Drosophila melanogaster: one gene and its partners. Changing the gene in region 3 together with the main gene of any one other region gives a genetic interaction. Each region holds a gene or a part of one and is shown on either strand. Other genes may lie near its edges.

Region 1 (6,274 bases), on a different chromosome or scaffold from region 3:
GAGAGGTTCCCACACGATGTTCGAGCTATGTGGAGCAAATGCTGCGACCGCTGAAGGCATTTGCCCAGCAGAACGAGTCCCAGCTTGGCACCCTGGTGGTGGAACAAATCTTGGCGGAAGTTGCTAGTCACATAACCAAGGCGTGAGTATAATTTTACGATGGGTTCGAATTTCTCTGAACTTTTATTCGCACTATAGGTACTTCAATGTGGTGAGCGATGTGCTCACATCCGTACAGAAAACCGAGGAGTCATTGCGACGCTTGCGAAATGTAAAAAGTGGCGGAGCCGCGACTGTTTCGACTGGAAGCTCGGCTGTAATGTCTGACGATGATAAGATTCGCGTCCAACTGCGAGTGGATGTCACATCCTGGAGGCAGGAGCTGTGCAAACTAAACTTTCAGGCCACCCAGATCGATAAGCTAGTCGAGCTGACAAACATGGTGGAGGACAGTATCAAGCTAAAGGATAACAGCGCTTAGTCACCAACAACGATCAGTTATTAAACGTATACACTTCTTTTTATTCTTGGTAAACGAATTCTAACGATTCTTTAGGCACAATTATTGATTGTATTAGGACTACGAATTGTACATAATATATATAGGCATATATGTATATCATATATTTAAATGCATTGAATTTCACAATCGTTATTGGTAAATACCGGCGAATAGGATTCTTCCTCGAAGTTATTCGCTGTTGGAATGAAACAGAGAAGAGATTGCGGAAAATTAGCCGACAGAACTCATCAAACTGTGGCCACAGAACGCTAAAGATATATAAAGAATATTGCAAAACGGCAGGCAAGGAACCATGCATAACATAACTCAAGCTTGCAATGATATATACAAAGATATTAAGTTGTGTGCATATAAGAATGAGCGGCTCAACGGAAGACAAACAGGATTGGATGCCAAGGCTCAAACAAAAACAAAACTAAGCTTGCTACATTACAGCTTGAGTTCCTCGGTGTCCGGTAGCTTGCGGAAAAACCACTGCACATGTTCCTCAGTGACATCGGCCAGCTTGGTTGGCTGCCACTGGGGCTTCTGATCCTTGTCGATGAGTAGGGCGCGCACTCCCTCCTTGAAATCACTTCGCTCCAGATGACGCACGGCCAGACGATATTCCATAATAAGACACTGAGCCAGCGACAGCTGTGATCCGAGCTCCAACTGACGGAACGTAACCTTCATCGAGGTGGGAGACATCTTCGAGAGCGTCTAAAACAAAGAAAAAAGCAATGTGTCTGATTTCAATAATAAAATTCAACTCTAATAGAAAAATGCAACAAGGTGTGGGGTGTGAGTTTGTGAGCTAGTGTAACTTATTCAGTTAAGAAAAGTCGTGCAGCAACTAAAGCGTTGCTAATTGGCTGGAAACGGATCAAATATTTAGGCGCTAAAAGCGCGCGTCAAGCGATGATTGGCCCAGCCAATTAACATCCGATTGTGTTCTTATCACTTAGTAAACTGTGCCCCACTCACCTCAAGCGTCTTCTTGGCCCATTCACTGCCATCGTTCTGCAGATTCTCTAGAATCCCCTCCACCGAGTCCGCTGAAAAGTTCTTGTTGATCTGCTCCAGGACAGGCTGCAGCGAGAAGGGCTTTTCTGGCGGGGAATGGTACTTCTGCAGCAGCTCAGGCACATCATCCGCATCCGGGCAGTTAAGGAGAGCCGTCTCCAGATCAGGGATCTTGCTGCTCTCGCAGTAGTGCGTAGCAATGCCTGAGTAATAGACATCGGCTCCGCGCAGTCGATATCCTGTGAGACCCAGATAGAGGCCCAGCTTTCCCTGCAGTCGAGGCAGGAAGTATGATCCACCCACATCCGGGAAGAGGCCAATCGCCGTCTCGGGCATGGCGAACAGTGTCCGATCGCTGGCCACCCGGTACTTGCCATGCACACTCAGACCCACGCCACCGCCCATGGTAATACCGTCAATGATGGCGATGTAGGGAATCTTATAGTTTCCGATCAGGGCATTCGTGCTGTACTCCTCCCGGAAGAAGCTCTTCGACTCATCCGTAGGGCCAGCCTCGACCAGAGCGCGCACATCTCCACCGGCGCAGAAGGCCTTGTCACCTGTGCCCTTGATGATCACCAGCGACTTGGACTTCTCGCACTTCTTCAGGTGCTTGTAGATCTTGCGTACCATCTCCAAGTTGATGGCGTTAAGCGCCTTGGGCCGGTTCAGAATAATCATTCCCTTGTTAGAGGACTCCGTGGCCAGCACGGAGGAGGAGGATTGGCGAACGGAGAGAGCCATTGTTGTTGGTTTTGTTTGGGATATCGTTGCTCCGCCGATCATCGGCAATTGGCTACAGGTGCGATGACCAAATGTGTACACCAACCTTTGAATTGGGCCCTGCTGGACGGCGACATCGAATTGTTTTCGATTAGCTAAGCGCTTCTATTTGCAGGAATTTGCATTACTTACCATTTTGAGCGGCTGTCGTCAGTAATGTTGTGTGTGGGGCGAAGCGAGTGTTTAGAAATTCAGCGTTGCGCAATAGAATTTTAGCACCCGCACAGCTGGTCATTCTTGTCGCGGAGCTGCCAGACCGCACACATGCCGGAAGTAAATAAGGGTGTTCCAGAAATCGTTTTCCGCGTAAAATATTACTATTAAATGGACATGCCAAGGGCAGACCTATACCAGGCGCCTTTTAATTTATTAATTCAAATATTATATGTATAAGAATTTTAGATAAAGATACAAATTGTTTAAAAATAGTTTAACACAAACCTGTTGATAACAAAATTCACTATTCATTTTGAACTCATTAGTAGATAAACGTAAAAAAGAACACACATTACCTACATATTCATAATAGAGCAGATTTGCAGTCTGGCAACACTGAAATTGGCAATTGTACTTCTCGCGAATAAGAAAAACAAATTTCGTGGAGTTACTTTATCTTATTTTGTCAACAAATAAACGGTGAGTAAACATTTGTAATTAGCACGCAATCGGTGGTCGGTTGTCAGTTAAGCCAGGGCCAGCAAGGGGCTCGCACCAAGATTACAATGCCGCAGTTCTTTAAGTTCCGCAAGCTGCGGACAAAGCGTCATAGCTCTTCTACCACTTCCGCCTCTGTTTTCATGTCCTCGTCCACGGCCACCAACCAGATGAACTATGACGGCCTCCTTTCCAAGTTGACCGACGAAAAACTGATGCTCTTCGAAGCCGCCGGCGAGGGGACCATTGTAGAGGGTAGCCGGATATGCGGCCAGGATGCGGATCCGCTCTCCTTGCCGCTGGTGGAGGACGGCGCCATCGAGGAGGAGCAGGCGGCCCCCATACAGACGATTCATCGCACTGTATTCGCCGTTCCACGCGTCCCTTCCCCCTCCCCCGTAAGCACATCAGGTGCCAATCTGAACCTCAAGACGGAAAACGCTGCGACAGCGACTCCGCAGCGCAAAATATCGACGTCATCACGTTTCATGAACGCCTTCAGTCAGCTCTACGGCGGCGGCAACAGCGGTCCGAGCTGCGGTCACGTGGAGCAGCACAACGAGGAACCCGGTGACCTGTCGGCAAACCGTACTCCCACCAAGGGCATGGAGTCCAAGCTCGTCGCAATGTGGCACAATGTGAAGTATGGCTGGAGCGGCAAGATGAGGCAGACCAGCTTCTCAAAGGAGCAGCCCGTGTGGCTGCTAGGACGGTGCTATCATCGACGCTTTACTCCGCCCGTAAGCATGGAAAGTTCCATCACCGAGCTGCCCAGCGGGGCGGATACCACCCCCGATAACGCCACATCGGCGTTCGACAGCATTCAGGCCACATCGACATCAACCTCCTTGTATCCAGCCCTTAATCCGCAGCAGATCGATGAGATTGTGGTGCCCCAGGAACTGGGAATGGACGCGGTGGAGAACCAAGTGGGCGAACAGCCTTGGGAGGAGGGCATCGAAGGCTTTCGTCGTGACTTTTACAGTAGGATTTGGATGACCTACCGTCGAGAGTTCCCAATAATGAATGGCTCCAACTACACCTCGGACTGCGGTTGGGGCTGTATGCTAAGGAGTGGTCAGATGCTCTTCGCTCAAGGACTCATCTGTCACTTCCTAGGGCGAAGTAAGTTAAATGAACCCGCACAAATATGTTTGATTACCAATAAACCTTTATGCTTCAGGCTGGCGCTATGATTCAGAGTCCCAGTTGCACTCGACTTACGAGGACAATATGCATAAGAAGATCGTCAAGTGGTTCGGGGACAGTTCCTCAAAAAGCAGTCCCTTCTCCATCCACGCCCTGGTGCGGCTGGGGGAGCATTTGGGTAAAAAACCTGGCGATTGGTACGGTCCCGCCTCTGTTTCCTATTTGCTTAAGTGAGTACAGATCTTTATCGCTTTTTTAATCTTTATTAAATCAAACAACTCTTCAACTTCACCACAGACACGCCTTAGAGCACGCGGCTCAGGAAAATGCAGACTTTGACAATATTAGTGTCTATGTAGCCAAAGATTGCACGAGTAAGTTCAAGCAGAAAGGAATCCCTTAATCAAAGATTCATAAGATAACTACCATGACACATTGATATGTTCATGAGTAATTGCTGCAACCTTGTTCGCGAAGCTCATTACTCAGGGGCTCAATTGATAACGTATGTGATTTGATAACCGTCTTTGTGTTGTTTTAGTTTACTTGCAAGATATTGAGGATCAATGCAGCATTCCGGAACCGGCGCCAAAACCCCATGTGCCTTGGCAACAAGCGAAGCGGCCGCAGGCGGAAACTACCAAAACGGAGCAACAACAGCACTGGAAGTCCCTCATCGTTCTGATACCTTTGCGCCTGGGCAGTGATAAACTGAATCCTGTGTATGCCCATTGTCTGAAGCTGCTGCTGAGTACAGAACACTGCCTGGGCATCCTTGGTGGAAAGCCAAAGCATTCGCTGTACTTTGTCGGCTTCCAGGAGGACAGGCTCATCCACTTGGATCCGCACTATTGCCAGGAGATGGTGGATGTGAACCAAGAGAACTTCTCCCTGCACTCGTTTCACTGCAAGTCGCCGCGGAAGCTTAAGGCCAGCAAAATGGATCCTAGTTGTTGTATCGGCTTTTACTGTGCCACCAAAAGTGATTTCGACAATTTTATGGAGAGCGTACAGTTGGTAAGCAAAAGCCAAACATTTCGTTTTCCAACGTCCTATTAAATATCTTAATTTCAACAGTATTTGCATCCTATGCGTTGCGCCTCAGGGGCAACTGTGGATAAGGCGGCCGGGAGCCATCATACGACGCCTCAGTCATCCCATCAAACCGAGCAAACAGAGATGAACTATCCATTGTTCTCATTTTCCCGCGGTCGTTGCATGGATCACGAGCGGGACGAAATGAGCGATTCGCTGTACAAGCCGCTCATAAAACAGGTGGCTTCTCTGGCCCAGGAATTGGGCGCTCAACTGGCGCCGCCACAGCACGGCGATGAGCACGACCAAGATGATAGTGAAAGCGAAGAGTTTGTGCTGCTGTAGATCGTTGCCGCCACCACCACATAACCCTGTTGCTGTGCTAGCTGTGTTATTTGCTCATTATTATTTGATTTAGTTGCCAGCCGCTGCTGCTTGCTTGCTCGCCCAGAAAAACCCAACAGACCCGTATCTCAAACACAAAGACTTTGTTGTACCTTTACGCCTACGCATATAGTACATAGACGCATGCATGTATCTTGAATATTTACTGATGTCCACGTTAATCTCTCTTTTGTTCGACCTGTCGTCTCGCATTCTGCCAAAGTTTTTCAGCTATTTCCATGTTCGAGCAGCCCGATCTGTTTATATGTGTTATATATAAACCTATGTAATTTGCGGTATTATTATTTTAAAATCATGAATCTTTAATGGAATTGAATTATTTTACAATGGTGCCACAATTGTCACTATTCTTTGAAGTATTTCATGTAGCGCTTAGTTCTAGAGTTTAGTTAAATTATGTAAGTCGTCTTGTAATTGTTCGATCATTATTTAGTTTTAACATTAATTGTATATACCCTCGAGTAAATGAATAAACTATCCTAACTTATACTAAATACAATTAGGGTGTCATGAGATTTTAGCTGATGGGATATGAATGTATGATATAGATACAATATTGCACGGAATTAAAATTAAATTAGACTAACTAGTTTTAATGTCTTTTATGAATAAGTAATTTAACCCACAACCTCGTCTTTCGTTTGGGATTATTACAGCTTGCGAAGTGTACATACCTCTTATTATTTGCAAACAACCAAGATTTTGGTTGGATCCATATTT
Region 2 (6,656 bases), 8.7 Mb from region 3:
ATGGGCGAAGGGCGAGCGAATCTAAAGCTCGTAATTATGGCCAGCCAGTCCCGTCCGTCCGCTAGCTAGGTAATTTTTTTTCATTTCATTTTTATCAGCTCTCAGCGCTTCACTTACATAAGCTGGACAAAAAAAAAACAGCGGAAAACACGTTGGAAAATTGCGAGAAGCGTCTGTTTGTGAAGTTGGAAAATTTGAATTTCATCAACGGCAAAGCAGAGCGAAAGCAAAGACAGGCAGCGGACGAAACAATCATGATAATTAAATTGAGTTCACTGATGCGTATACTTAACATTAAATTCAAAGCCAGAAGCAATGCAAAAAAAAAAAAAAAACGCTGCTGCTCTGCCCCCACAAACGTGGAAAAATATATATTAAAATCAGCAACTGCTTTAAAAAAGTGTGTAGGAAAAAAGAACCTTCAACTGCCAGAGGTTTTGATTTCCTTCCTTTTTTGGTTGGAGCACCACCAGAGGATGTGCTTGTTGTTAGAAGCGGAACACAAAAAATTATATAGGTTAGCGCTATAGCCTTCGCATCCCTATCCCAATTTGGGACTTTGGGCTATATACTTGGGCATCCGTCCAGAGAGCGAGAAAAATGGCAAGAGAGAGCGAGAGAGAGAGAGACGCGTGAGCGGCGCAGAGAAGCGAGAAAATGTGTGCCGTGTTGGGAACATGCAAATGTGGGGCGACTGCCCACGCAACACCCACTTTTCCGCCCACTAACCCATCGCCAACAACAATGTTGCCAAGAATACGGAAATATTTTTGAGTGGATGCTCTCTGCGAAAAATATATGCACTACAAGAAACTTTGACAAATTATCATGCTTATGTATAATATTTAAAAGTGCCACGAAAACTAAAATTAGCATAGGTATTTTACACTATGAAAACAGTACAGTAATTTTGTTTTAAGTTTAAATCTTCAGAAAACTATAACTTATAGAATCTATACAATTTGTGTATCAGATTGTGTTTGTGTCTGGAGAAAATCAAATTAAATATCGCCTGCTTAATGTTATCAATTTAATGAGCCAAGTTGGGAATTCCCTCCTGGGGGTTGGTCAAATCGGCCATCAAAGTTGGCATGCCCCAAGCTGCGTGAGAAGGGCCGGCGGAAAATCAAAGCCACTTTTTGCGCTCTTAAGTGCAAAAATTAAACACAATCAACCCCCCAAGGCGAATCTCTTACGCTCGCCCCCCAAATTTCTCTCCGCTTTCTCTCTCTCTCTCTCTCTCTGTCGAATTTCTCGTCCGATATTTTCCCATATCATTGGCTCTCATCACTGCTCTTCGTGTGCATTATTTATTGCTCTTATACAGCCCGAATGTTTGACGATGACGAAGGTGCTCCACTGTCAGTGTCACCACCCCCGCCCACTCTCTGTAATTCAGATTCCCCCTAGCTCTCTCGCTCTCTCCCTCTCGTTCGTCACCTTTCCCTTTCGCTCCCTTGGCTGGAGCCCAGTTAACTAGTAAACCAGCAACCTATAATGGAGCCTCTTCCGTGTTGTTATCCCTATCCCACGACGTCGCGTATTCCCCACAGAGAGAAAAATCATCGGCCATTAGTCATGAATTCGCAACGGTTATGATGTAATGATGAATTATCTGGGGAGTTGTTTTTGGATACGTATTTGCAGTGCTCTCTACCCTTGTCTAGAATAAATTTCCACCTATAAGTAGTTTTTAGAGATAGACATCTCATGAACGAAAGCTGTTTCCTTATCCATTTGATCTCTACTCATACAAAGAGATTCTTGAGATGCAAACATATGCAGTATGATATGATATGAACTCTTTCACTGATTTTTCTCAGTGCACTATCCCAATTCTATCCCTTTTTCGCATCCCGGAAAATGAGCACCAGCTGTCTGCCATTTGCCTTCAATTTTCCCCATTCATGTTTGTTTTGCTTTTCGCCTGACTGTATAATAAATAACTTTGAAATAAATCAAATCGGATCCTGGGCCAATGGACACATGTTAAATGGACCGAGAAATCTAAGCGGGGCATCATCACATTTTTTTATTGGATCAAAATCAACAAGAGCAGCGTCGGCGACCTTAAAACGCATTAGCAGCCGCTGTCGGCCAAGTCGTAATAATTTTATTAGCAAACATCAGAAATATAAAAATGCCGCTGCTCGGAGGCAAAAGAAAAAGAAATAAAAGCGGCTACAATTTCGAAAGGTGTTGGCTTTTTCAGAAGTTCAAATTCAAACGGCGTGTGAGTCGGTGGGCGGGGGGAGGGGCTGTGACAAGTGCAGGCGTGCTCAAGGTAAAAGCGCCGCCGCCGCAGTCGCCGTCGACGCTGACAGCGCTGTCGACTGCAACTCGGCCGAAATCCGAGTGCAAGATCAAGTGAAGCGAGTGGCCGAAAAACTAGAGAGAGGCAAAACTACGAAAGTCGGAGAGCGAGCCATTTATCATTTTACATCACAAAAGATAAGCTGGCGAATAGGAGATACTCAGCATATACATATATGTACATTCACATACATATGTACATACATGTGTAAGTTAAAAAGTAACTATCTTTGTATAAAAGAATCTAGCAATTAATAATAAATAAAAAAGCAGTTCTGCCTCTAGGAAAATTATATTAGGGCCTAAAAATCTCATGTATTGACCTTATATTATTATAATATTATTTGTTATGCTGACAAAACCACATATGTTTTGTATGTACTAATTATCAATATTTCGTGATATGATTAAACGGTTTTATTGTGTAGAATCTATACTAATAAGCTGTTCTACAATATTCCCTCACATAAGTACAGGGTATTTAAGTTGGTCGCGCGGGTGACAGACATTCTGTCTTTTTCCCACCTTTCGCCGCCCTCTCTTTCGCACACGTGCAGCGGCACTACATGTTGTTGTTTTGTTTTTTAGGCATTCTGGAGGCGATGCTGTTTAGGCCGCTTTTAGTCAAGTGGCCGTGCAGCGACGCCAACTGCGGCAGCGCAGCTGCGACTAGATGAAAAAGAACAAATTGACTAAGCACGAAACACGTTTTAGCCAGAGTTTTTAGCCAGACTAGCAGCTCGAATCGGAATCGGAATTGGAATCGGTGGGAGCGGGACGGCGTGTGACATACTGACCCAATTCCGGGTTTCGATTTTCTGGTTTTTCTCAAGAATACACGTTTTCCGCTGCATAAACACACACATAAGCGTACGCGGGAGCGAAAGAGGCAGAGCGGCCAAACGAGTTGCATGGCCAAGAATTTTCGCCTGGCATTTTTCATTTTCCCTGCGAGTGACATTCATCCTCCCCCCACCCAAAAGCAATCCCCTGTTCTGTCATCAGGAAAACTCACCGTTAGCTGCGTCCTCCTTGGAGATTTTTCTGATTGCGTCCAAACTACGTCGTTTCCACAGGCTGCCTTACGTTACGTCTTACGTGAGAGGGGACACAGTTTACAGTTACAGCCTTTGCGTATCATTAATATTCCTTGTGATGAACGTTTATCCCAGATACGATGCGTTTGTATATATGTATCTTAATATCCAGTATTCAATATCAATATCAATAACGTCGGTGATGAACAAGAACCAGAAGACCAAAAACGATGGGATGATGGGATGATGGGATTTAGCTTGATATTCTCTTGGTTTCTTTTGTAATTTAATTATTTGCTCTTCTTTCTTTTCCGATATTTAGTGGTGTTTACTTGTATATATTATTGTTGTGTGTTCCGATTTAAAACAATTTTACTTGAATATATATATATATAGCACTAGACAACTTACTTCCTACGAATCACAATTAGAAATGAGTGTAAGGCGACGACCGAAAGGAAAACTCCCGTCAAAATGAAAAACTACGCGCCGTCTACTTGGGCGGCCGAGAAAAACCAAAACACTGTGGCGACACACCACATGTGTTTTTCTCTTCCAAAAAACCCAAAATTCCAAGGATGGTGGGGGCGATTGCAAAGGAAAATTGAAGCCAGGAAAACTCTCTTCAATATTTACCGTTCACCGTTTAGCGATATAGCACAACAATTTTAGTTCTACAACTGCTCTCGTGTAATGATGAACTCCAATTAAGAACACAAGTCCGTTTTAAGTTGAAGGCAGCCGTCGGGCTGACATATATTTATTCAATTTCTTCTTTTGATTTTAGAGTAGGCAGAAATGGTTCTGTCAGCTCAACGTCTACAGAGTCTCTCCGATTTTACAGTTTTTTATATATTTTGACTTAGGCTAATCCGCGTAGCTGCGCTGCCGGGTACGCCAGCAGCGGAGCGGCGTTCTTATGTATATCTTATATATCTAGGCTTATCGGGAGAGCGAGATATGTATGTACGTATGTAATATGTATTTGGTCGGCGTGTGAATGCTGACCATGCACTTATACTTTTTGCCTTCGAGTGGGCAATGCACTTATACTTTGTGGCCTTCGAGTGGGTGATCATGTTACATCCGCCCTGGCCTAACTGCGTGCATAAACATAAACATAGCAACAAAGTGCTGCCATAAGTTAATATGCTATTTTATTTAATTGTTCTTAATATTGCATAGGCACATACTACATCTCCCTCCTTTTGAAAAATAACGTAACCTAGTGAAGTTATTTTGATTATTAAATGCAAATTATTTTATTTTTATTTTTATTTTGTTTGTGTTTTTGTTTGAACAACAATAGTTGATTTTATAATGCAAAGATAAAAATATACGTAGTGTATGGAAAATTTGTATAAATGATTAAGGAAAATATAAGTTTAAATTCAATCATGAATGAAATTTCTTTAATCTATCTTTATGAACTATTTGTTTTTTGTTTTTATTAGTAAGTAGCGTAATATTGTTATTATCTCCTATGCTTTCTATCTTATAGGGCCCCGTATATTTAAAGTCTAATTTATGACCTACCTCATTTCTTAGTAAAACTTTATCTCCTACTTCTAATTCTATGTCTTTTATTTTTAAGTCATAATTTTCTTTATTTTTTTCTTTGTGTGCTTCAAGAAGTTTTCTTGCTCGAGCATATGCTACCTCTAACCTATATTTACTCTCCTTAGCGTAATCATCTATGTTATATATTGGTTCTATGCTATGTAGTTTATTAAAATGTTTTGGTAAATTACTTGTTCTACCGAAAACTAATTCATATGGACAATAATTATGTACCATAGATTGGGTCGTGTTGAAGCAGTATACGAAATATTGAAGCCATACGTCCCAATCGGTTTTGTCCGTCGATATGTAGGATCGTATATACTCGTTTAAAGTTCTATGACTTCTTTCTACTACTCCAACTGTCTGGTGGTGATGAGCTGTTGATGTTATATTTTTTATTTTCAAATATTTACACAGGTCAGTAATTATTGAATTCTTATACTCTGTTCCCATGTCCGTTATGAACGTCTTCATTGGACCGTACTTTAGAATAAAAGATTCAAATATAGCTTTTGCGACTGTTTTTGCGCTTTTATTTGCTATTGGTATGGCAACTAAGTACTTGGTTAAATCACATATGAGAGTGACTGCGTACTCGTTACCATTTTCTGACTTGGGTAGTGGACCAATTGTGTCCACAACAACTCTATCGAAAGCATGTTCTGGTGTTTCAGTTATCGTCATTGGAGTCTTTGTGTGCTTTGTTGTTTTTGCTTTTTGGCATTTTTGACATTTTCTTACGTACTCTTTTATGTATTTACTCATATTTTTCCAGTAATAATGTCTTTTGACCTTGGCCAAGGTTTTTGTAATGCCTGTATGCCCTCCTTGTATTGGATCATCATGTAATGTAGACAATATAGCTTCTTTTTCTTTTTCATTATTTATTTGGGTCACCGGGTTAAGTAGCGCTACTTTTAAATTCTTTAATATTTTATTGCCCATATTTTTAAATTTATCTATTGAAACGTGTTCAAAGATTTTTTTCCACGGTGCCATTTTGATTTGGCTGATATCATATATACCGGCCTGCAATTCAAGCCTTTGGAGAAATTGATCTAAATCAAGAATTCCATTAGTATAAAGATCACCAACATCATATCTTGCAATAATTTTCTTTCCATGTTTAAATAAACATATCGAGTCATTCAATTGCAATGTCACTACTTTTCGTACCTCGTCATTTGTTATGACTTCGTATACGTTGGGCTCTGAAGCTATTTCTTTGGTTTGCTTTTGCAAATCCAATTGTTCTTTTCCTGCGCAGGATTTTTGTCTACTTTGAAATCTTGTAGTGACTTTTAATATATTTCCAGTTATATCTTTTAGCTCTTTGATGGTTATTCTTGATAACGCATCTGCTACATGATTGTCCTTGCCCTTTAGATACTCTACTGTAAAATTATATTCCTCTAGTTCAAGCCTTATTCTAGTTAATTTAGAGCTGGGGTTCACCATCGAGAATAAATATGTCAATGGTCTATGGTCTGTTTTCACAGTGAAATGTTTTCCGTAAATGTATGGTCTGAAATGTATTATTGCCCAATGAATTGCTGCTAACTCTTGTTCTGTTGTACTCTTATTGCTTTCACCTTTCGTAAAAGCTCTGGATGCATAAGCAACTGGGAGTTGGTGGCCATTATGGTTTTGAGTTAAAACTGCGCCACACGCTTGCTTGCTTGCATCTGTTGTTATGCAAAATTCTTTGCTGAAGTCTGGGTACTGCAAGAGTGTTGGGTTAAT
Region 3 (9,090 bases):
CGTGAAAGCGTGGGCAACCAGTCGGCGACGTATAAGGGCTGGCGGAAGATGGAGCCGCGTGCCTGAAGCCCGGAGCTCCAAATCGCACCAGCCACCCGTACGCCGCCCTCCCACGGAGTATTCTTCTGTCCGCGGAGTGGGAAATTTGAACCCGTATTAGAGAACATACCAACCGATGGAGCTCCATTGTCCGAGTAGAAGATCACTATGCTATTCTCCAGTTGATCTGTAGAAGACAGAGCGGTTATTATACGTCCCACGCTCTGGTCCAGTTTGGAGATCATCGCTAGGGGTTAGATTAGATATGTGATAAGTCATGTTTGGGATAAGCATTTAATTATTAAAGTGTAATTACCTGCATATTTCCTTCGGTTTGGATCCTTAATGTAGGAAAACTTTTGAATCTCTTCCTCGGGAGCTTGCAGAGGATCATCCTCGTTGGCCGTGTGGGCAGCCAAGTGGCTGAGCATCAGGAATAGGGGTTGCTCCTTATCAGCATGGTCTTTGATCAATCGTTCCGCCTCGGCGGTTAACAAATCAGTTACATAAACCCCACGATCCCGGCACTCCAACTCCATGTTCCGCCGGAAATCGTAGCCCAGACTATAGTTGGCCACCGGCATCTTGGATCGTCTCTGGAAGTAGTCTATATAAGCGCCCCAATAGCCGAAGTGGTAATCGAATCCCCGCCGAGTGGGCGTGTATTCCGGGCGCGAGAAGCCCAGATGCCATTTTCCCACCAGGTTGGTGGAGTAGCCTGCCTCCTTGAAGATCTCCGGCATCAATGTGGCATTGAGGGTCAGGGCCCAAGGCTCTTCGTTGCTGATTACAAAGTGCTGTGTGCCTGCGGTAATCAATATATGAATTGTGTGGGTTTGATTCAAATCATTGATAATAACAATCCCTGGTATACAAAAGGTAATCGATACTAACCCGTGTGTATTGGATACCGGCCGCTGAGCAATGCTCCCCGAGATGGAGTACACATTGCCGGAGCGTAGAGCCGATCCAGTAGACGACCGTGATAGGCCAGGGCGTCGATATTGGGAGTTAGAAACTCCCGTCCGCCTCGAAAGCTCACATCATCGAAGCCCTGAGAGAGTGTTTGCTTTAGAAATGGGTTGATTTATGACGGCGAAACTAGTCCCACCATGTCGTCGGCCATAATGATGATTATGTTGGGGCGCCGTGCTGCAGCAGATTCGTCCGACTTCACCCGTTGGAGGCAGAGCAAAAGCAGAAACGCTGATAAGCCCCGCATCTTGGTTACTCAACTTACGTATTAGACAATCGCGTAATATTCGACTGCCTTGCACGGCAGCTACCGATCAACTGAAACGGCGAGCGGTCCACGTAACATCTCGCCCCAAATCGGTTTGGGTCTCGATCTCCCAATCTGTCTCAGCCGGCATCTCACTGCCAAACCGATCGTTTGGCGTTCGATTTGAAACCGATCAAACCGAATTAGAAGCCACAAGCAACAAGTTTATTTAATAACCGAGCAGCTCCATCTAAGTAATTATAATGTGTAGGTAGTGTAAATACGTACAATTTAAGAGGCTTTTTGTTGGAGACAGTTGAATAAACTCAGAGCAAGTGGGGCGCATTCTGTCTGGGATCAGTGTGCTTATCAAAGTGGTTAGCCGTGAGCACTTTGTGCCGAAAAAGCCAAACTTTGCCAAGGAAAACATTTTCGGAAAAGTGCTTGCATCTGGGTACGTTGAAATTAAATGAAATCGAATGTACAGTGTAGTGTTTATTTTTTTTTTTTATTAAACTAAACTTATAGAGTAGTCTAACAGCAGCATACTAACTATACAACGATCTATCTGGTTACCGGATGTCCAGTGATCCAGTGATTAATACTATAGGGACATGCACAGACACACACGCTTATTTGGCTAAACACGCACACAGTAAAGGCATAATCTGATCCTGATTCTGATCCTCGATCCGTATCACCAAACAAGGCTTCTGGCCGCGGCCGGAAGACCACAGATGGCGTTGTGCACGGGAATGGCCAGAAATCCGGCCAGAGCAATGCCATAGGAGTCCGACTGTACCACCATGGCCATGGCGAACTGCTGGCGCTCCGGCGAAATCTCCTTGGACATCCGATAGAAGGTGTTCACGTAAGCACCGCCGCCCAGAAGTCCCTCCCACAGGACGATGGCGAACACGATCCAGATGCTAGGCGTGTACCACCAGATAACCTCGGTGAGGAAGTATACCACGTTGACGAACTGGAAGATGGACATCAGCCAGATCTTGTCCAGCTGGAAGAGATTGACAGAGGAGCGCGAGATAAAGACTCCGATCTGATAGTCCACATTTAGCCAGCGGTACTGCGAGTCCTTGTCCAGGAATATATCTTCAAAGTAAACCAGTTCGAACTGAAAAATGGATGACAATGAATGTTTTTTTGTATGAATTAAAGAAAGCTAAATTACCAATCCTTGATTGATGAAGTATTCGAAGAAGTAAACCAGGCAAAGGGGCAACATATATTTGAAGAGGTGCTTGATATAGAAGAGCTTTTCCTTGAACCCAACTAATGGCTTCTCATCGCTGATCAGGACTTCCGTGGACTCAACCGTGGTAACCGGCAATATATCAACTTGTGGACGACGAAGCAGCAACCAGAATGCAAAGGCCTCGATCGCAGGGAAGATCAGCATAATCAGCATAGTATCTCTGGGACTGAAGTCTAAGGATCTCAAGCTAGCATAGCTCAAGGATCCGATAACTCCAGCGCCACCAGTTCCGGACGACCAAGTGGAGATCACATTCCTAAGAAAAACATATGGAATTAATGATATTTTGTTTAGTACTTTTACCAGACAACTCACTTATTGTATCGCGAAGAATAGGCCAAGAAAGTGGTTTCTCCTATTCCGCTGCTAGCCGAAGTGATGATGACACCCAAAAGAGCCATCCATTCGGCATTGGCGAATCCAACCAGGAGGAAACCAGCTGCAGAAAAGGCCACGGCAAGAGCTATACGGAAACTAATAAATAAAATGCGATTTTGTGTTAGTATCATATCAAGTTTAATGCATCAAATCAAATTTATTTAATATTGTAGATAGTACTCACTTCACCCAAAATGGAAAGAATGGCATTAGAATCTTGACAAATAATGAGGGCAGCACGTCTGCCAGCAAGATGGCACCTGTTGAAACCAAGTGACAGTTTCTTCCCGACGAGCTTTCTTCCGATTCATCATTCTAAAAAGAAAAAATTATGCAGGCGAACAATTAATAAATGTATTAAAAGTGCTATAATCCTATTGTAATTACCGGATTAAACTGCTTGATAATATCGTGCGCAGCACTCAGCATCACCACGTATCCGTAGTTGTTGCACAGACCGAGGATCCAGTAGGAAGTAAGATCCCGCCATAGACCCCGATCTTGGCGAGAGCTGCGAGAGGCGTCTCCAGGGGTGACCACCACTTGGGGATCATGTTCGGCCTCAGCCTCTTGCTGCTTGGTTGCCGTCATATTGAGCCGGCTAAACAAAAATTAAAAAACCCTTTTGTTTAATATTTTTAGTGCAAATCCAACAAATTTATTTGATTCACTTCATAACTTTTTTTACCATTTACTATCTCTAATCTAAACTCATCTAGTTTCTCCTAAGAAATCAACAACTTATTTGTCTCTAAAAAAATTAATGTTGCTCTTTTTAAAAGCTTTAGCATTTACGCAAATTGTTTAATTGGTCAAGCGTGAACGAAGGTGGTTTTAAGACTTCAAAACGGCAACGAAATCAATATCACGTTTTTATAATAACAGTTTCTTTTAGTAGCTTTAGTTCAACATTTATTTGTTCCAAGAAACAAATCAGCGCCGTACCCTTAGTTCATGATCACCTTACTTAATTTACTTTGAATGGGCCAACTATTAATTGAATTCTCTTTCCCAGCTATGAGCTATTTATACTCTTAAAAGAAACTGCTATTCACTCTTCTAAGCTGAGCAAATACTACTGCTCGAGTCGAATTTAAATAAATTGTTTAATTTCCCAAGCCGAGCATGTGCGTAAGCAGTCTTGAACTTGACATAATATGGTCACTAGGGGAAGTCGCTAAAATATATGGAAAGTACGTGCAATAAATGCTTAAAAATATACAAATTGTGTTGAAGGTAGGAAAAGACAGCTGTTTAGTTCAGACTCAGGGTTTGACGGGTTAAAAGACTCATATTTATATAGCTAAGTGCCTTGCGGGATATTTTCACGGGAGGTGCACACGTATTTCCTATTTTACTATTTGAATTTGTAATAAAGTAGCCTATTACTATTACTTTACACATTTCTCAGGCATTTAACTATGCTATATAACTAGCTAATTTGCAATGTTTGGAGGTTTTAAATAAATAAGATTTTAGATAACATTCAGCTGTAGCGGGAAATAAACTACATATGTGCGATTTTACCGGATATATAGATGTACGTATATATATCACAGTTTTTTGGCAATGTTTTCGGTGGTGCAAAGTGCAGATGAATTGATTTGTTTACATCCGACAGAACTTGTGACTGATAATAGATCGAAGAGGAAATGGGGACAACAGATGGGATAATATAATCTAGACCGTTCAATGCATATATTCCCAATTCTCATTAGCGCCCTTGACTGGCAGCTTTTAATTATCCAGATCATTTAAGTTAACCTTGCAACAAGCCAAACCAATTCAAATAATGTAATCAACAGTTAGCACGAGCCCTGTTAGCCAACAAAGAAAAGGCACGCTAACTGTAAAATAATTATAACAAATTAACTAATTTAATTAATTCAGAGACCAGGCAAATGCTTTTTAGCCGTCCTGCACTTCGTTGGCCACTGACTCATTCAAGAGATTCACTTGATCCATTTGCGCAGTTATGAAGTTGTTGACCCAATTCGCAGTGCACTTTCCTATCCAGTTACTTTTGCTTGCTATCAAAAAATATGATACCCGATACTCAAAATTTATTTCGAAATATCACTGGTAAATTGAGAATGCTAGATCTTGCATATATCTTGAAAAAAAAATTCTGAAGCATAGAGTGCTTAAAGGGATTTTCGTTTTCAAATATAACTTTTTAATCAGTAAATTAATAGATAAAATAATTTTTTTTCCATAAGAAATTTTAAGCCTTTGATATTTAATTTCGCATTTTATGTAATATAATATGTAAAAGGTTGAATTTACAACAAATGTAAAAATGTTTACATAGAGTTAACTTTCTATTGCACTTTATAACTTTTCATAGCACTAATGGGTTCTTCAACTGCTCTTGTTCACTATAAAGTACAACCGTACATCTTGCCACTATTTTTCGGCTTGGTAGTTCTAAGGTTCCGAGAACTGTTGGATACGACGGCGACGACGATTCGCGCTTCGAGGCGATCGGTGAGTGACTGAACCTGTGCGAACCCTCCCAACGGAACGAGAACCAATAACAAGCGGCGACTACAATGGAGCCAAGCGGCTGGGAGCCCAAGTATGAGGTATCACGCGAGTTGCCAGCGGCAGCATAAAAACTAAAACAATTAAAAGATGCAGCAAGTGCCAAAGTGCCGATCAGCAGGTTGATCGTACGTAGATCGCTAGCAGGTAGCACACATTACAGATTACATATATAGTATCATTTAATTCAATTCAATTCGATTTGATTCGATTTGATTCGAGCGGCAAAAGCGGGGGAGTTGAGGTCGGTCAGCGAACGTCACGTTTTTCGAGTTGGCAAGTGCATTCGCATTGGGTTTAGAATACCCCTTCTTCTCAAGAGTGCGAAGATAGCGATAAGATGTTCGAATTTCTCGATGGGGGAAAATCTGCGAACCTTGTGATTCTTTATGGTGGGAAATGCTTATCGGCTAGCGGTCTTTGGCATTCAAAGATCCCAAGCAATCCGATAGTCGAACTGGTATAGATTAGATTATGAAGATATTGTGTCACTACGAAGGGTTCTTAAAGATTTTCCAATACTTTTGAACGCATGTGCTAGCTCTTGATTAATGTATTGAAAACGATCAAGTTAGCAACTGTATTTTGGAGGGTATTTCAAACTTCGTGTTTGTGTTAGCTTTCGTAATTAGCACCTGTTATTGAATAAGTCATAGCTATTTTAATTACGCTTAACTTTAAGTTAGGCAGTTTAATTGCGGATAGCGCTGTTAGCTTTAATTTGTGCTGCCCAATATCAAGTAAGCTCTAATGGTCGTTCCCTCTAAGTTTATTGTTTTTCAACGGGCGCACGTGGCGTATGCGTAATCCGAAAAGTGCTCCTAAGCTCAAAAACACCTGTTTTCTAGTAGAAAGATTTTAAAAAGTAGTATCGATAAATTCACTTGTTTTTTTTTTTTTAAAGTTACACAGTAAACCAAACGGAGGTCATTTAACTCGATGACAAACGGTTCGGCTATGCAAATCACATTTACCCGTTCAACTGGAAATGCTGGCTAATTTTATAACAATTTCATTTGAAACGGAACCCTGAGATACTTTCTACGGCCATAAATCCGGCGTAAAATGCAATAAACATTACTCCCCCGAGTGAATACCAAACACCAGCCGTACGTACACTTTCGAATTATTTCCGGCTGCCACTCAATCCGCTCGAGCAATGAAAATCTACTGAGGACTCGTCGAATACGGGCCTAGATTACAGCCGGACCAGTTGCAATCGACATTATCATTATCGTTAAGTGGCCAGCAGATTAAATTACAGATAAGACGTTCGCAGCATTGGGCCATATAAATCTTAAGATATCACTGGCAATGGCAATTCGTATATGACAGGCTCTGGGGAACAGAAAGGGTAATCAAACTGATGAGGTGATGGCCATAAGCCCGCTTCCCCCTTTTTATCTTTTCCCGTACACTTAAGTCTAATAATCGTACCGGCCAAGAGTTTGGTCATAATAAATTTCTCGGGTATCGTTTTCCCATCCACAATAGCTCCGTTTAAATTAAATCCGTTTCGCGCTCATTTAGCACGTACGGAAACCGCCAAAACCAATTTCACACCGCAGCCGCAAAGCATGGAACACTTTTTACTTGCCACAGGGCTATACATTGCATTTAAAAAAGAGAACATGTTGTTGACAAATTGCAAAATAAAGTGGTTAAGGCTGCTAGGGATAAAAAGGGACACCCGTGTTCGATGTTGTAAATAATAAATAATTCACAATTGCTTGTCAATTTCGAGTCACTCCAAAGTTGTCCTCCCTGCGAAGGGAAAGTAGTCCTTTCATGGCATAAACTATGGCCAAAGCGATGCCCTGTTGACAGCCAGATTGAGTTGACAAATTGTTAAGGCAATTTGTTATAGTAATACTTTGGGAATTCCGGAATGCCAGTGAGTGCTGTTTGGCAAGCAGTTGTGTCAGTTGCATTTTAATGGTCGACTGGGAGTCATTTAAGAACGAAGTTCTTAATACTATTTGCTTGACTTAGGCAAATGTAAAATCTTGAAAAAATATATAATTTACTGCGTATTTGATTAGCAGCCATATAATACCATTTATTTGCTCCTACACCCAATTTAATAATATTTGTGCGAACTCAACTCACTCTTATTTATTGTACAATCAATTTCGATAAAGCTTTGACACGTCCCTTCCCATATTTGTCGCCTCTGGCGATGCGCCATCATTAAAATACCATAAATCATCTCGGGGCAACATGCGATGTCTGCGGTAGGGAAACTACTGATTCCGGTGAAATTCGGGGAAATGCGAAAAACACAACTGTTAACTGTTTCTAATAGGCCGTATTAGGCTCACAATCAGTTATCTAACATTCGCACGTGGCATTGGGGAACAAAGTTTCAATTCGAATGTGGCCGTGCACGAAAATGCAAATAAAATGGCTCCAAGAGAATGAATAAAATCATTGCCAAAAGGGAAAATGGAGTATAAAAAGTAACCGCCAAACACGAAAAGTTTTTAATGCAAATACGAAAATCGCATGGAAACATGGCCACCACGTCCTTTGCAAACCCCTTTATCCATCCCTCCGTTTAACGAGCCGTGCTGCAATTTTCCGGCGCGAAAACAGGAAGTGAGGAAAGCGTCGCCCTGCATAATTTTGCGATGCGAAAAGTTAACGCAAAGTGTTTTTATTTTCTCCTGGGTGCAAATAGAATATAGTTGTTACAGCAGCTTAAAGCGATTTTAAAGCACTACGGGTGAAAGGTGAGATGACGCGTGAAAAAGCGCTTCCAGGCCAGTTCCACCAGCAGGATTACCACGACCAGGATGTCGGCGCAGATCAGCATGAGGAGCAGAGGAGCCACGTACTCCATTCCCACGGTGATGACGAAGTTCTGGGCCACGCAGTGCAGCTTCATGTGCACCCAGTAGCTGCGCTGCTTCCGGTAGACACCAGTTTCCAGGATCCTAAGGAATCTAAAATAATACATACGATTTTAATACATTTAAGATGTTTTTGAATAGCATAAAATTTAGTTATACTTGCTTTTGGAAGAGTAGCATAAGGGCTTACCGAAGTCTGAAGAGCTCCTTGTACGTGGAGTTGCGATGTAAGTGCGTGTAGAATAGCTGCTCGGGTCGAAATAGAACTTCGTTCAAATCGCAAATCTCTTGAGCCGTAAAGTACCGCTCCACATATGCATATCCGGAAGAGGTTTCGAACACGTAGACATAGCCAGGATTATCCCTGACCCTTAAAACACCCTGCTCAGCGGGCAACCAGAGTTCAGGATTCTGGGTCTGCGATTCGATTTTGCGTTTTATGAACAAGTGTATTTCCGGTAGTCTTGAGTACTGAAATTAAAAAAGCTCTTTGCAGTTAAGAATGGTTAGGAATGGAATGAAACCAACATTTAGGTAGCTCTTGGTGAAGGGAAGTGGCTCCAAGCCCACGGTTAGGGAACTCTCCGCCAGCTGCCGCATCGTTTTTATCTTGGACTTGACGGGCGAGCTTAGTAGAGATGAAACGACTACGGAAGTGTAGTAGTTGTACATAATAAAGCTGATCAGGAACAGGGCGAAGTAAATTAGTCTGCCTCCAGCGGATCGTGGAATCAAGGACGAACTTTGGATGCAGGCTGCTCCAAAACTGATCAGGAAAGTGC

The links.
Region 1: of Cln3 (region 3) and Hibch, changing one enhances a phenotype caused by changing the other (phenotypic enhancement), as found in Drosophila melanogaster (one study listed by BioGRID).
Region 2: of Cln3 (region 3) and bol, changing one enhances a phenotype caused by changing the other (phenotypic enhancement), as found in Drosophila melanogaster (one study listed by BioGRID).

The regions. Positions count from the first base shown.
Region 1 is NT_033777.3:15,353,490-15,359,763, reverse strand, and holds Hibch (3-hydroxyisobutyryl-CoA hydrolase), read right to left. Parts: upstream 2,536-6,274; 5' UTR 2,447-2,535; coding exon 2,444-2,446; intron 2,375-2,443; coding exon 1,490-2,374; intron 1,284-1,489; exon of another isoform or gene 1,226-1,283; coding exon 953-1,225; 3' UTR 501-952; downstream 1-500. Other genes in the region: Cog2 (component of oligomeric golgi complex 2), read left to right, coding at 1-142, 199-481; Atg4b (Autophagy-related 4b), read left to right, coding at 3,136-4,090, 4,149-4,344, 4,412-4,488, 4,656-5,131, 5,192-5,494.
Region 2 is NT_037436.4:9,126,569-9,133,224, forward strand, and holds the start of bol (boule), read right to left. Parts: upstream 3,788-6,656; 5' UTR 3,329-3,787; intron 1-3,328. UniProt on the Drosophila melanogaster protein: RNA-binding protein that plays a central role in spermatogenesis. Required for meiotic entry and germline differentiation, at the transition between G2 and M phases of meiosis I.
Region 3 is NT_037436.4:17,807,487-17,816,576, forward strand, and holds Cln3 (Cln3), read right to left. Parts: upstream 6,634-9,090; 5' UTR 6,574-6,633; intron 5,406-6,573; exon of another isoform or gene 5,310-5,405; intron 3,514-5,309; 5' UTR 3,504-3,513; coding exon 3,300-3,503; intron 3,228-3,299; coding exon 3,097-3,227; intron 3,009-3,096; coding exon 2,850-3,008; intron 2,791-2,849; coding exon 2,451-2,790; intron 2,394-2,450; coding exon 1,959-2,393; 3' UTR 1,745-1,958; downstream 1-1,744. Other genes in the region: CG32191 (uncharacterized protein), read right to left, coding at 1-286, 356-844, 934-1,093, 1,151-1,261; Ir75a (ionotropic receptor 75a), read right to left, coding at 8,176-8,401, 8,499-8,779, 8,837-9,090.